Saccharomyces cerevisiae S288C: one gene and its partners. Changing the gene in region 3 together with the main gene of any one other region gives a genetic interaction. Each region holds a gene or a part of one and is shown on either strand. Other genes may lie near its edges.

Evidence for each region.
Region 1: mutations in YHC1 (region 3) and MUD2 together harm fitness more than expected from each alone (negative genetic interaction), as found in Saccharomyces cerevisiae (5 studies listed by BioGRID, with this or other methods).
Region 2: mutations in YHC1 (region 3) and TGS1 together harm fitness more than expected from each alone (negative genetic interaction), as found in Saccharomyces cerevisiae (5 studies listed by BioGRID, with this or other methods).

The regions. Positions count from the first base shown.
Region 1 is NC_001143.9:292,775-298,193, reverse strand, and holds MUD2 (Mud2p), read left to right. Parts: upstream 1-2,000; coding exon 2,001-3,584; downstream 3,585-5,419. Other genes in the region: Hsp70 family chaperone LHS1, read right to left, coding at 1-1,764; AAN1 (Aan1p), read left to right, coding at 3,886-5,238. UniProt on the Saccharomyces cerevisiae protein: Splicing factor that contacts pre-mRNA directly and is a component of the pre-mRNA-U1 snRNP complex (commitment complex 2) that forms during early spliceosome assembly in yeast extracts.
Region 2 is NC_001148.4:252,070-257,204, forward strand, and holds TGS1 (RNA methyltransferase), read left to right. Parts: upstream 1-2,744; coding exon 2,745-3,692; downstream 3,693-5,135. Other genes in the region: AIM44 (Aim44p), read right to left, coding at 1-2,241; pheromone-regulated protein PRM4, read right to left, coding at 3,844-4,698. UniProt on the Saccharomyces cerevisiae protein: Catalyzes the two serial methylation steps for the conversion of the 7-monomethylguanosine (m(7)G) caps of snRNAs and snoRNAs to a 2,2,7-trimethylguanosine (m(2,2,7)G) cap structure.
Region 3 is NC_001144.5:724,092-729,106, reverse strand, and holds YHC1 (Yhc1p), read left to right. Parts: upstream 1-3,690; coding exon 3,691-4,386; downstream 4,387-5,015. Other genes in the region: EXG1 (glucan 1,3-beta-glucosidase), read right to left, coding at 1-152; ECM38 (gamma-glutamyltransferase), read right to left, coding at 1,056-3,038; YLR297W (uncharacterized protein), read right to left, coding at 4,674-5,015. UniProt on the Saccharomyces cerevisiae protein: Component of the spliceosomal U1 snRNP, which is essential for recognition of the pre-mRNA 5' splice-site and the subsequent assembly of the spliceosome.

The DNA of each region.
Region 1 (5,419 bases), on a different chromosome or scaffold from region 3:
CTCATGCAAACGCGAACGTTCTGAAGGAGAAAGCCTTTTGATCTCAACATCCTCAGAAGTAAAAGCCAAACGGCTGCCTTTGTTCTTAATTTGCTTGGAGTTACCTATGTCATTTTCGCTCTGACAAATGCAGTTAACCTCTTGAATAGAGAATAATCTATCACTGGACAAGTCGAAAGTAATGTTATACGCAACTCCTGACGAGCACTTATCAGAGGAATATGAATTCTTTATAGCTCCTGAATTAACTGTGATAGTTTCGAACAATTTACCATTCTCAAATAAGTCAATGGTAAAATTATTAGGAATCGAATCAGTCGTGTTTGTCAAAATAGATGTTTTGTTTGGATAAGCACTTCCGCGCGTGAACACATCATACAGTTCAGATTCGTTTGATAATTTGAATGAATAAGTATTTACAGAACGGTCAACAACATTTAACGGCTTGGTCTTAAACGAATTAGATAACTTGATCCCTCTCATAACAACACCATTCACAGCTGATTCATCAGCATTGACATTTCTCAACACTTTTTCTTCGGATACGAGTTTGATTAATTGATCCTGCACAATGGGAATTCGGGAAGAGCCTCCCGCCAAAATGACCCCATTTATCTCAGGTAAATTTGTTCCATAGCCACCGAATTGTTTTGTAACAGCGTCATTTATGGGTTTGACAATGTCCAATAACGAGTCTGCAATAAATTCTTCGAATTCCTGTCTAGTTATAGAAGTACGGAAATCAATATCGTTGATCAGTGATTCTATGTTAATACTTGCCTCAGAATTGGCGCTTAAAATTAACTTTGCCTTCTCTGCTGCTTGGTTGATTTTTGCTAAGGCCTTGGGATTAGCGTGCAATTCATCAGTTCTTATGGCTGGGTGTGTTTCCAAAAACTTATTCTCTATCAAACTGCCAATATCCATTGTAAACTTTGCACCACCTAGATGTGGATTATACCCATATCCTTCAAATTCTATTGTAACGGGCTGAGTAGTGTCCTCCGGCTGCAATATAGAGAACATTGAGGCCTTAATAGAACCGCTCCCCATGTCATATACGATATAATGCTGCTGTTCACCTGGTGGAAATTGGCGCTGCTTTAATACAAAGTTAACTGCAACAGACATCCCTTCACTAACCAGATATGTCTCTTCGATTCCTGTGGTTATTGAACTGGCATCTAAAAGTGCTTTCCTTTGATGTTGGTCAAAAAAGTCAGGAATTGTAAAACTCATCTTGTTTACAAAGTCCTCAGTTCTTGCATCTCTATCCTTCAACAGTGAATTGGCTCTATTGGCAATCTCTTGGACATTCATTGCCACTAACTCTTCCAATGGATATTCCACATTATCAACTAAAAAGGCTATGGTACTTCTATTTGTTGATACCATTTCTAAACCGGGGTGTTGTTTTGAATACAAAGTTACAGTGGTTTCATCTTCTAGTGATTTCCCAAGTAGCGGTTTCAAATGCAACAATGTGTTTTGGGGAAACCTTGTTGCTAAACTGCCAACAGCGGAACCGTAGATTCTTTCAATCCCATTCGGATCATCCTTTCCATAACCTGGTAATCTTTTTATCGAAAGACCAGATATCTCCTTCCGTTTTGCCTCTGGTGTGAGCACAAGTTCTAATGGGGCTTGCGGAGAAACCACAATGGCCTTGATATTTTGCTGACCGTAATCAACACCTAAAACGGCTGCTAAAGACCCTATAGCAACAAAAGCTGTTAAAAATAAAAGCCTTAAAACGTTTCGCATGGTAATATGCGTACTTATTTGCACTAATAATGCCAGAATACTGCAGGAGCGATACTGTTAATATTACGCTGTAGAATGGATCACTTTTATAACAGCGTGTTCGATATTATATATTTGAGGCGCGCGCCTAATTAGCAAGTGCTGAAAAAATTCGAGATGAGAAATTAAACTGTACATGCTAATATAAAAGAAGTAGAAAAGGAAAGTTAATTGACACAGAAAACAAGCACACGGAGATGGCTGATGAAAAGAGACTGGAGGATTTGAGATCCAAAATAATGGAGTCTATAGGAAAATCAGAAAAGGATGTTGTGCCGATTGAGAACAAAAGATTCAACACGGATAATGCAGTTATAGATACACATTTTAAGAGGCAAAAAAGTGACGGTGAGCTTCCGAAAGCGCCAAAAAGTAGAAACGTTTCACATTCTAATAACAGAGGACCATCGTCAATAATTACTATGAGCACGAATCGAACGACTTATGAACAAACAAGGGCAGGTCCTCATCGTCAAAGTTATCGGGATGCATCGGGAAGATCATATAACAGGGAGAATCGGTATAGTAGTCACAATACTGGGCCCCAATGGAACAACAATCCCTATAATAGGCAACGGGATGAAAGAAGAGGAAGAAATGAAAGGTTCGATAGAAGGGGAAGAAATGGAAACGGAAACTACGATCGTTTCAATTACCAAAGGAAGAACGAAGGTTCTAAATTCAATGGCGACCGTGATAAAAGGCAGTTGCAAACTAATAAATATGACATGAACTATAATTCCCAAAATGTAATGTACCCGGGTTCATCATTCGATTCTCCGGCTTACTACAACATGGCCTCATCCAAGGCAAATTCAAGGCTTGTAATTTCGGGCTTGTCTCAAAGCAGCGACCCCAGCATTGTAGCAAGATTGAAAGATTTGCTGGAAAATTTTATTTCAGGTCTCCAGAAAACTGAGAGTAATGCGGAGGACTTTAAAATTTCCAACTTTTATATTGGTGAAGGAAGGCCGGACCATATTATTGTTGAGTTTAGTTCTCAGATCTGTAGCACTATGGTTTTGGCCTGTCGATCATTCTTTAATGCGAAGCTTGGTACTTTCGACTTAAAATGGAGAAGACCTAATGATTATGTTCAACAACTTGATCATCTGGTCGATTTTTGCAGGGGTACGGTAATTGCATTGGAAAATTTGGAAAATATAGGCGAGGGTGAAGATTATAGAATGAAAGAGCTTTTTTCGTCATTGAATGTAACAAACGGTACCGCTAAGCCACTTTTTTACAAATGTTCGTCCAATACAAACAACACTGGCAAAGAATCCGAATTCACTAAATGTATTCTATTATCGTTTGAAGTCGTCACTCAGGATATTCTTGATAAATTAAAACCATACAAATGGTTCAAGCCAAATGATGGAAAGATATCACAAGTTACTTCATGGATTACGTTTCAAAGCCTGCCAAATCTGGTTACCCAATCTGTTCGTGTTGAATCGAGAGTTTTGTTGCTCTTAAATTGTCTTGATCCATTGGATTTGAAAGATGAAACCTTTATCACAGAAATTAAAGAAACATTAAAGTATAGTATCGCGGGAGCAGATACGATTAAAATATGCCAACCCGGCGTCGATTACAGACTTAATTTTGAAAACTTGGCTTCCGGAGCCGGTAATATTTATATCAAGTTCAAGACCTTGGAGGCAGCAAAACACGCAATGGAAGAATTGCCGGGTACGCAATTCAACGATCGCACTGTTCTGTGTACTTATATAGATGAGGACGACTTTGACATGATGGAAGCAACCCAACTTTCCTAAATGGTCTATTTTGTAGAGCGAAATTAAGTAAAGAATTGAGTATTCATTATGTAGATCTAATCTTTAACGCAGTGAAAAAAGTCCTCGTTTTTGGTGACTTTTTTTGTACAATTACTTTTTTGAAATATAACGAAAGTTAGCAGATTGACTACTAACTTGCGATCTGGAAAATTAAGAGAATTCAAACTTTTTTTGTTGCATGGGTCAATAATCATCATTAGAGCTTGCCTTGATCAATTTCCTTCACATTTTTGGAATAACTAACATTATAAATCAAGCCTAGTATAGCGCGCCAAAGAAGATGGCTAAAGATTTATTGCCCAAGCAAGCGGCCAACGAGCCATCGTTAAAGGACTGTACCTGTAAAAGATGTCTTAAATTGGGTGCTTCAAAAGAAAAAAAGATTAGAAGAAAGAAGAAAGGTGAGGAGAAAAGAGAAAGACATTATGGAAATAGACGAAAGTTAACATTCAACTTTTTGAAGCATACGAACATGGAAAATACAAATTACGACGTAATCACTTCGGTTGGATATCTGAATGAAAAATACGGATTGAAAAAATCACATTACATTGAAAAATTTATCAAATGCATCCATAGAAAAATAAATATCGATGTTAGCAAAATTACGGACGCCTATGTAAACTCGCTAAACCCGTGGGTTAAAGTAAAACTCTTCCTTTTATTGGTGACATTGTCTGAAAAGGGTGGTCCGGAATACTGGCTAGATAAGACAGATGGTGAAAAGAACTCAGAGGCGTCTTCAACAGATAATAGTTTGGAAAATTCTACTAAAGGAGCAGATAGCGCTGGATCTACTGCTTTGAGAGATGAAATGGTCAAAAGCCATAAAAACCTTTTCCCAACTCTTACAGAGCAAATCATACAGCATAACATCAACCAAGATTTTACGGAATCGACTTACGACGAGGATTATGTATTTTCGTCAATTTGGGCAAACTTCATGGAAGGACTGATCAATCACTATTTGGAAAAAGTCATTGTACCTTACTCGGAAATGAAAGTCTGTCAGCAATTATACAAGCCTATGATGAAAATTATCTCCCTCTATAACGAATACAATGAGCTTATGGTCAAAAGCGAAAAGAACGGATTCTTGCCTTCTCTACAAGACTCCGAAAATGTCCAAGGTGATAAAGGCGAAAAAGAGAGCAAGGATGATGCCGTTAGCCAAGAAAGACTGGAAAGAGCGCAAAAGCTGTTATGGCAAGCTCGAGAAGATATTCCAAAAACAATTAGCAAAGAATTAACGTTGTTATCAGAAATGTATTCTACATTATCTGCTGATGAGCAAGATTACGAATTAGATGAATTTGTTTGTTGCGCAGAGGAGTACATTGAATTGGAATACCTACCTGCCCTTGTAGATGTCTTGTTTGCTAATTGTGGCACGAACAACTTCTGGAAAATTATGTTGGTGTTGGAACCCTTTTTCTACTACATTGAAGACGTCGGCGGAGATGATGATGAAGATGAAGATAATGTGGACAATAGCGAGGGCGACGAAGAAAGCTTACTTAGCAGGAATGTGGAAGGAGATGATAATGTGGTTGAGCGTCATTTTAAGCCTGATCCAAGGGTCATTACACTGGAAAAAATATGTGAAGTTGCTGCAAGACAGAAATGGATATAAGGAGAAATCAAAGGAAAAGAAGCAAGATCCAGCGTTTTCTTTTGAACCCTGGAGGATGCTGATGCATTCTCTATTTATTTGGTATCAAATTGTCGTACAGATGATTTATATATGTTAATATTGTTCAGTTTACACTAATTTTAATTTACCGTATTTACTATCCAAAGGAGAAAAAAAGAAG
Region 2 (5,135 bases), on a different chromosome or scaffold from region 3:
CTTGACCACACCTGTTGGTAGCGATATAATGCTGTTTGAGTAGGCAGGATTTAGCATAGCAAATGGAGATCTTAACGTAATACTCAAATCGCTTTGTTTTCTCATCGGACTTAATTCCGCTAATTCGTCTACCTCTTTTGCCAAATTTCTTCCTTCTCCTTCTTTTCTTTTTTCTTCTTCTTCTTCATCATCTTCATCATCTTCTTCATCTTCTTCATCTTCTTCATCATCATTTTCTTCTTCTTCTTCTTCATCATCTTCATCATCTTCATCTTCTTCTTCTTCCTCGTCGGCCCTTACTGTAACGCCATCAAATATTTGGGAGGAGCTACCATCAGCCTCATATTCAGTTAATAGAGAATCGACAAGATCTTCGTAGATAGTTGAGTTTGTTTCTGCTGATTTATTCATATAAACAACATTGCTCTTATAATTTTGTATACGAGCAATTTGTACCCTGAGCATAATTCTTTGAGCAATTACGGTGCTTAAATAATGTTTCATCAAATTGTAACTCTCTTCATTTGAAGTTTCCTCATTATTTGCATCCACATTTTGAATTTCATTGTTGCATTCAACTCTGTCCTTATTATCTACTTCCGTTGTCTCCATTGCATCCGCATAATTAGAGTAGCTTTCAGATGATTCTCTGTCATAATCAGATGAGCAAACGCTATTAACGGGAGATAATTCTCTCATAGAACTAGTATCAATTACATATTCGTCTTCCTCTTTAATAGAATATCGATTCATGGATAACGGAATAACTTTATTTTCTACCACAATTGATGGCTGTCTTGCAATTGCATTTAGGGCCGTCGATGGTTTTGACCTTACCAATCTTGACCTCGAGTACATGCTGCTGTTGCGAGTGACGGCATGACTAACATTATCCGGTACAGAAATGAAGGAGTTTTTATTATTTGCCGGTGTCATAGTGGCAGATGCGGTTAGGATGGATGCAGCCCTTCTAATAGAGGAATTTGTTCTTCTCAATGATGGAGTATAGCTTACCAAAGGGCTCCTTGGGGTGTTTGATCCAACTTTGGAATCTTCAGATTGGGGATGGTTTGCTTTAAATTTCGTATCAACTGTCAAAGGTTTAGTCTTTTTTTGTGGAGCCAATACAGGTACTAAAGATTTTGATGAGATCGACCGTTGTAAATTAGAGACGTATCTCTGCGATTTTTTTTGACGCGGAGTAGAGTTGCTGTTTTTGTTGACTAGGTTCGTCCCTCTTTTTTTTGACTTGTTGTTAATGTTTGCTTTAGATTTAGTGGTTTTGGAATTCGTGGCGGAGGGGACCTTTTGAACATTATATGAAAACAGTCTTCTTCTTAAAACTAGCCGTAATTTCCGTAACTTTTTCTTTATCTTGATTCCCAATGAGGTGAAATAATATAAGAGTCCGCCCTTACATCTAATAGCTTTTGATCGTTTTAGAGAACAACGACTGCTACTTGATTTACTGCTGACACTTGAACTATACCTGGAATTGGAAAACCTCGAGGATTCAACTCGTCTTATGGTCGGAACTCTGTTTAGCTTTTTTTTAGGTTTCGGTACTACGCTATTGTTTAATTCGATAGTTTTTATATCCTTTTCCATATTTAATTTGGTCATCGGTTTGGCTTCTTGGGTCGACGGCAGAATGGCGCTTTTAGATGTCGATTTCCTTGGTAATAACGATGATGCTGATGACGGCGCGATATCGTAGGAAACATTATCTGCTGTTGGGATAGTCTGGAATGCCGTTGAGATTGAGCCAGTTATGTTTCCCTCTGGAATAGCTTCCATTGAATGTAACTGGTTTTTAACTACATTTGAGCTGCTATAATGAAGAGAGTCATTTCCTGGGAAGTCATGAGAAGCAAAAAAGTCACTTTTGTTCGAGTCTGAGGAAGTTAATCTAGCGGTTTCATTTTGATTGATTACAATACGTGGTGAAGACGTAGTATTGTCAGAAATGTTAGCAAATGAATAGTATCCATTTGATGAATAACCGGAATTTGTATTTGTATTGGAAGTGGATGTATAGTCTGATAATGTTTGAGAGTTTCCGTCTTCATCGCGAGAAACTCCATTTTCTGCTGCAAACACATCATTTAAAAGATGATGATTATTCAAATGGTACTCTTCTAGCGTTCCTCTTGGTAAACTTTCGTTAGACGGGAATTTAAAATCCATTTGATCGCCTCTAAACGACTTGGTTTTTGTCCTTATTGGAGCTCTGATGATCATTCCGTATGATATATTTGTTGTGATAATAAGCCAAATTTATTTGAGCACTATTGTTAAGTTAATTGTTCTTGTTTTACTTGTTAAGCCGTTAAGTTGTCAACCGAATTATCAAGCACTTAAATCTATATATACAACATATTTGTACAAGAATTGATGACCTGCTGAAAGCCCAGCAATCTGGTTATCCCAGTTGAACATGTTTAAGGATAGGCATATCGACTTCTTTATCTTACTAACCGAAATATTGAATTGCCTGTGTAATGAATGGCTGGAGCAGCCTTTTTTTTATCTTCGCCAGCCATCGCTTTTTTTGAATATTTTCCACATGAAAACAATGTATGAAAAATTCTAAGGCATCGCACCAAACTATATGAAGGGGAAGTGAGTTATTCCGCAAACAGCGAGTAAGTTTTTCGTTGTATTGATTGCCCATATTATATACCGTGTTGTGGGGGCAACAGACAGAAGTAGAAGAAAAAATTTTTGTTGATTTAACTGAAGTGATGGGAAGGACATTTATTCATGCTTCGAAAATAAAACATGCGGCACGCAAAAGAAAACATCATTCCAACTTTAGAACTCTGATCAAATTATTGAACAATGATGCCTATAAGATAGAATCATCAAAACCGTTGAAAAATGGTAAACTTTTCAAATACTGGAAAAATAGGCGTAGATTGTTTTCAAAGATAGATTCGGCGTCGATATATATGACTGATGAGCTGTGGTTCAGTGTGACGCCCGAAAGAATTGCCTGCTTCCTGGCAAATTTTGTTAAGGCATGCATGCCAAATGCCGAAAGAATACTGGATGTTTTCTGTGGTGGGGGCGGGAACACCATACAATTTGCCATGCAATTTCCTTACGTCTATGGAGTGGACTACAGTATTGAACACATATATTGTACTGCGAAAAACGCCCAAAGCTACGGTGTGGACGACAGAATATGGCTGAAGCGGGGATCCTGGAAAAAGCTAGTCTCTAAGCAGAAACTTTCCAAAATAAAGTACGACTGTGTATTTGGATCACCCCCGTGGGGTGGTCCAGAATACTTAAGAAACGATGTGTATGACTTAGAGCAACATCTAAAGCCTATGGGGATTACCAAGATGTTGAAAAGTTTTCTTAAACTAAGCCCTAATGTGATTATGTTTTTGCCAAGGAACTCTGATTTGAACCAGCTTTCTCGAGCTACGAGGAAAGTACTAGGTCCATTTGCCAAATGTAAAGTATTATATGTAAAGGAGAATGGATATATGAAAGGAATATTTTGCATGTGGGGGGAATGCTTTTTTAACTACGAACCAGCAAGTACGGAGAATAGTCGAAGGGAGTCGTCCGAAAAGGAAGAGCTGAGTTCTGAAAACGAAGAGCTCTCGAAAAGAAAAAAGCATGAATCCACAACAACGACCAAAGATAATACTGTAGACATTTACGACGTAAATGGTTAAACACTTGTTCAAGTTGAATCGTATGATAGAAAATGCAATGACTATGTTATGAATGTATATATAGCACATAAAGAGGATCGCTTACGTGAATTTGGGAATAATTAAAACGTTCTTTTAGCTGCGGCTGCTCGTCGATAGGAGTGATAACAAATTAAGAATTAGAAGGGATGTCTTTTTTTTCTACCAGCAAGTTGCCACGCGCTTCAGACTTTAGAAGAGGTAGTAGCAATCCCTTCGAATGAGGTTCGATTATATCTCTCACCATTCCACGATTTATCACGGAAATACCATTCAAAAATAAATAAGGCGACTGAATGGATTCCAAGGCAGCACTAGTATCGATATTTAGTTTATTTTGTTTGATATACTTTTCTAATTCATAGCCATGAGAGTGTTTTTCCAAATCAACAGTGGCCAATTCGGGTGAAATCTCAAATTCTCTTTGTAATAGATTTTTTAAGAAAATGGAGTCTGCTTGTGATGATTTAATGAATAATACCGCTGGAGAGGTTCTTATTATATCTAGAAAATCTGTTCTAGGGTCGAATTTTTTGTGATCGCAGTTTTTCTGCAAGGCCAGAGAAGATGACCGTGGATTTAGTGTTGTTGTGGTCGTCGCCGTCACGACATTATCAGTTTGGAACGATCTTGAAGAAAATTTTGATGTAGCTTTGGATGAGGGTTCTGGGATGTCGACTTCAACCTCGCTTTGAATATTTGAAATTTCTTCTTTGACTTTTTGGAAATTTAGTTCATTTTCATTACTTAGAAAACTGTCTGCTGTCTTTAATAAGTTTGGCAACTTGTAAACGAACTTCTTTTCACTTTCTTCCTCACTATTTTTTTTGTTTTCGCTAGGGTCAGCAGAGTTGTAGAATTCCAAGGAGTCATTCCATGTAAGTAGTAAGAAGCTAAATACGCCAAGCAAAACGAGTGTTAGCGATATTATTCTCGTACTTCTCTTGATTGCTGTGTGCTTTTTCAAAACTGATGAATCCGCTATCATCTTTAACTGTTATTTTCCTTTTTTTAATTGCTCTTTACTGTTCTTGGAACAAGAGATTATGAAGTCTATAAAAGAACATATATATAAGTATTTAAGAGATAAGCCTGATTCAAAGACGTTTGCAAGTTTCAGTCACTTGGCCTTAACAATCTTTATATATTAATCCCTTTAGTACCTGCACAATTAAGGCCGAGACAGACTCGAAACAACCCCAAAACTTCTTGATCTTTATTAGCTGATGCCAAATTTTTTGGTACCACACTGAAACGAACTTCGTAAATCCATTATTTGTGTATTTTCTTAACGAGAAGTGCCTAAAAACTGCCTTTTATGCGCTGTCTTCTGAGAATAGATCCCGTTCAAGGCAAGCGCCGGGCAAGCGGAGGCGCAGTCTACAGAACAATCCGCACAAGGAAAAAAGCACCCGAGATCTGGGA
Region 3 (5,015 bases):
TCTCCGAGGGAACCGTGGTCATAATCGTAGTATCTTTTCTTGTTCTCCTCATGAACAAATTGAATGGAAGAAGGGTCTCTTGCAGGGACTGGGGTAGCGAGTACTGATGACACAGTCAACAACGTACACAGTAACGTTTTAAGCGAAAGCATTTTAGTTGGTAATTAACTAGAAAAAGAAAGTAAACAAAAAATCAAAGGCACGTGTTATTCAAAACTTTTGGGTCCTCTCGTAAACTTTAGTTTTCTATAGTTATTTTTGACTTAGTCAATACATAATAAAAATTACTAAGAAAAGGGAGGGAGTATTTAAAACGTCTGCAAAAACATTACTTTTTCCCAAAAATCCATCCAACTTATATACATTTTTTATCATCCACGCCTTTTTATTTAAAGTGCCTTTCTCTGCAACTGCTCATATGACGATATGAGATGGCAAGTTCAAGTTTGTTACACCGCTTATTGATGTGCACACAGGTACGGAACACGCTAAAATTATAACGGCGTGCTCGAGAGAAAAACCCAACAGGGTTGGTCTGGGCATCTCCAGCAAGCCACGGTTTTAAATTGACAGTGCTTCACACTGCGGTGTTGTCTGGGGCGCCTCTGTATTTGCGGCAACGCGCCTGGTTACGGGCTTGTCTCAGGCTCGTGTGCACCGCACTGTAAACACAGGGAGGATGACTGGGTCAGGTCCCCACGGTTTATTTATAGTAAACAACAATGCGCGTATGTGTGCGTATTAATGCTATAAAAAGAAACGCGCAGTATCAAGCCATCAGATTTTTTTAATAATGGTAAATACGTATGCTGGCATCGTTCCGAAGTCGCGTCTCGGCTGCAAGGTAGGGAAACTTACTGAAAAAGGCAAAGCTCGCATGATCTGGATTTTTTGTTTTGTTTTAAGGGCGTATGCCCTTTGTTAATGAAAAGTAAATATTGATTCTTTAAAAATAAACGCAAGCCCAGTATTTATTTATATACCACAGAAGCAGGCTCCCTACATTACGTACTATTATCTTGAACTATATTACAGTACCATTCTTACCCCACATCTTAGTATACGGAGGAGATTCCTCTTTTTCTCCAATAGTCACTCACCGCATGCCATTCTCCCCTGACATTGCGTATAGCATTAACTACGCTCTTGGGAAATACTTCTTTCATCGTATATCCCATTTCCTTGAGAGTGCTTAGTACGGCTTTACCGATCATGGGGAAGCTTTCCAGTTCTATGCGGTCGGGCAGTAACTGGTGGTGTATACGTGGATAGGCTATCGTTTCCAATATAGGCATGTTATACCAGTACGTCCTCACAATTGTTTGTAAAACACTCGTAGTGATTCTTGAGCCGCCGGAAGCGCCGACCACGAGGTCTGGGATGCCTAATTCTGACAGCACAATAGTGGGTGCAGTGGATGATAGGGGTCTTTTCCCGGGCTCGGGAAAGTTGTATATGGAGGGTGCCAATTCAAAACTATTAGATTTGTTGAATTGAGCGAAATCGTCCATTTCATTATTGAAGATCACCCCGGTTTTTGGGTCGTGTACTAAGGAACCGAACAACAAGTTGATGGTGGTTGTCAAGGAAACAGCATTCCCATGTGAATCTACTATACTGAAGTGGGCAGTTCCATGCGGGTTATTGATATCGTATGCCGGATCATAAAGCGTCCAGTTTTCTAAAGTTTTAAAATTTCCGTCTTGAGAGTTTCTTTTGATTGATTTCACTGCTTTCAAAGCCCATTCTGGATCCAATACCTCTTCTATATGCTTAGGTAATGCTTCGCCTTCAAAATCGCCTAACCTGCTTCTTGCGCTTGCCATCCATTTCATGCTTTCAAGCAAATGATAGGTAGTTTCTTTTTCATAATCGCCCCCTTCTTGATTCTGGAAATTATCCATTATCCTTAACGCCGCAAGTAGTGCAGCCCCGGAACTTGAGCCGCTACTTGTTAATACGGTCATATCGTTATCAGGGATGAAATTGGCGCCCTTCCTAATTTTCATGGACAGTGGTTTAGTAACATGAACATCATACGATGAAACATCCTGCAAGTTCATTATTCCATTGTATTTTGCGACAGTATCAATCATGGATTTTGCAATCCAGTGATCGGGGTCATAAAATGGGGCCACGGAACCATTTTTAGCCAGTTCCATTAGCATGTTAGATAGTGCCGGCCTCTTGATCCAATCGCCTTCTTTCAAAACACCGTCATGGGTAGAATTCAATACAAACGACCAATCTTCCTTCAATGTCAGGAAAACATCCTCATAAAGTTCTAAAGTGGCACCGAGTGCTTCGCCTATTTGCCAACCCACGCTTCCCAGCTTTGCGACTGGTTCAATTAGATCACGCCAATCAACTTGGCCGCTACCTCTTTCTTTAAAGAGGCGATAGAGACCCATCAATTCACCTGGAACACCGACAGCAAGACCCCCTATTTTTGAGCATAGAGAGCAGTTTTCGAACATGAACTTATGTGAATCCATGGGTGCTTTTTCTCTAAAATCAATGGATAGATGATCTTCATCGTCTTTGCCAGAAAAAACTACGTAGCCACCACCTCCAATCCCACTATTAAAAAAATTCACCATACCCTTACAAAGAGCTTGTGTTACTGCAGCGTCTGCAGCGTTAGAACCGGGAAATTTCAGGAGTACCTCATTTATAGTCAAATTACTACAGACTTCTAAATCTGAACTTATAGCACCATGCAAACCGACTTTTAGAAGTTGCCTATCAGGCGTTAAACTAGGACGGCGAGGTAAAGGGTCAATATCGATGTTATGGTGATCCTTATCGCCGCCATCATCATCGTCGTCTTTTTTCAAATATTCTGCAATAATGTCAACATCTCGATTGGCAGACCCTCGAAGGAGATTATTTATTCTCTGCAAAGTCTCCTGAGAGGCGAATGATACCATTTTTGACGGCATTCCGGACACTAACACACCCAGTGTTAACAGAGTGAATATATGCAGTATAAAACAGGTATTTAAAGTCTTGGGGACTTTTCTATTACACAACAGCATAACTGTAAGTCTAGTACGCTACTTTTTGTCTTGTCTTTTTGTGTGCCTGACAACGCCCCACTTGAATCTGCGTTAGCTTTTTATTCTATTATTTAAGATAACTGTGCAACAGGAAGTCACGATCGAACTTTACGGAAGAATTATAATATTGAGAAGTGCTAGTACACACAGGCGCACACACACATATATATATGTATCTATATACGTGTATGTAGATTTGGAAGTCGAATAGATAAATGCCGTTATGTTCCCTCAGAGAAAATTGATAAGCGGGCAAAAGGCGGCACTAAGACGTTCGAAGGGGCGGATCTTTTCTTTTGATCAACAACAGGCACAGCCGCTGAGTAATATAGTTATGATTTTTCTAATCTCATGTAGGTAATAAAATCTTAAAAGTTATTTTTATTTTCACTCTTTTATATGTGAATAGAGACACTTGTATAGAGATAATAAACGGTTCAAACTCTTTTCACTTTCATATGTTCCACACAGTACCTTATCATTGAACACTAGATTTCCGCAAGTGTCAAGGTACATAGGCGGGTAAGCGTTAAGGATAACAGAAAATATTCTTGCTATACTGAAGATATAATATGAGCTCCTAGTGTAGGCGATGAAGGTGCTCAAGTAACGGAGAGGAAAGAGATAGGCAATGACGAGATACTATTGTGAATACTGTCATTCGTATTTGACCCATGACACGTTGAGCGTTCGTAAATCGCACTTGGTCGGTAAGAATCACCTTCGTATAACAGCTGACTATTATAGGAACAAAGCAAGAGACATTATTAATAAACATAATCATAAAAGACGCCACATTGGAAAAAGAGGCAGGAAAGAAAGAGAAAACAGTAGTCAAAATGAGACGCTAAAAGTTACATGCCTTTCAAATAAGGAGAAAAGACACATCATGCATGTGAAGAAAATGAACCAAAAAGAACTGGCACAAACCTCAATAGATACCTTGAAATTGTTATACGATGGCTCACCAGGATATTCCAAAGTATTTGTGGATGCTAACAGGTTTGATATAGGAGATTTGGTTAAAGCCAGCAAATTACCCCAAAGAGCCAATGAAAAATCTGCACACCATTCCTTCAAGCAAACTTCAAGATCCAGAGATGAGACGTGCGAGAGCAATCCATTTCCTAGGTTGAATAACCCAAAGAAGCTAGAACCCCCAAAGATATTATCACAATGGAGTAACACCATTCCAAAAACTTCTATATTTTACAGTGTAGATATACTGCAAACCACGATCAAGGAGTCCAAGAAGCGGATGCATTCCGACGGCATACGGAAACCGTCGAGTGCCAACGGATATAAAAGGAGGCGGTATGGAAATTAACGCTATCAGATTAGATTATTAAATATTATATGTAGACTATATTTTGCCAAAAAAAACAATAGAGATATCAACAACGAATGAAAATGGTATGATGAGAATAAAAAAAAAGGAAATAAAAAAAGGAAAATTAAAAAATTGAGATTAGTTGAATTGAAAAAGGAAAAAAAATGTTTGGTATGCGATAATTAATTGAATGTGCACGATCGTTACTATCATGAGAATTAAAATTTAAAATGTCCAACTTTCGGGCGTGAAGAGCGGTGCCATCTATTATATCTATTTTTATTTCATGCTTTTTCAGCAAGTGCTTGCTTTTCTTCATCGTTGGACTGTAGTTTCTTATCATTACTGCTGCCTGAACGGAGAGATATGAATATCATGCCAATCAACCCAAGTAGTAAAACTCCAACCACTACAATAATAAAAGATATTATGAAAACAGCGAGTATGTTTTCCAGTGGTTCATTATCGAGGTTAAAATTTGAGAGATCCGGGGTCCCAGAAACGAGTGTGTGCACATCTCCGCTTGCTTTCTCATCCGAATTTAAAATCTTTGTCAATAATTTAAAGATCTCATCCCCTATGCTATTCTTGACGCTATGATGATCACCACACATGGATTTGGAGCT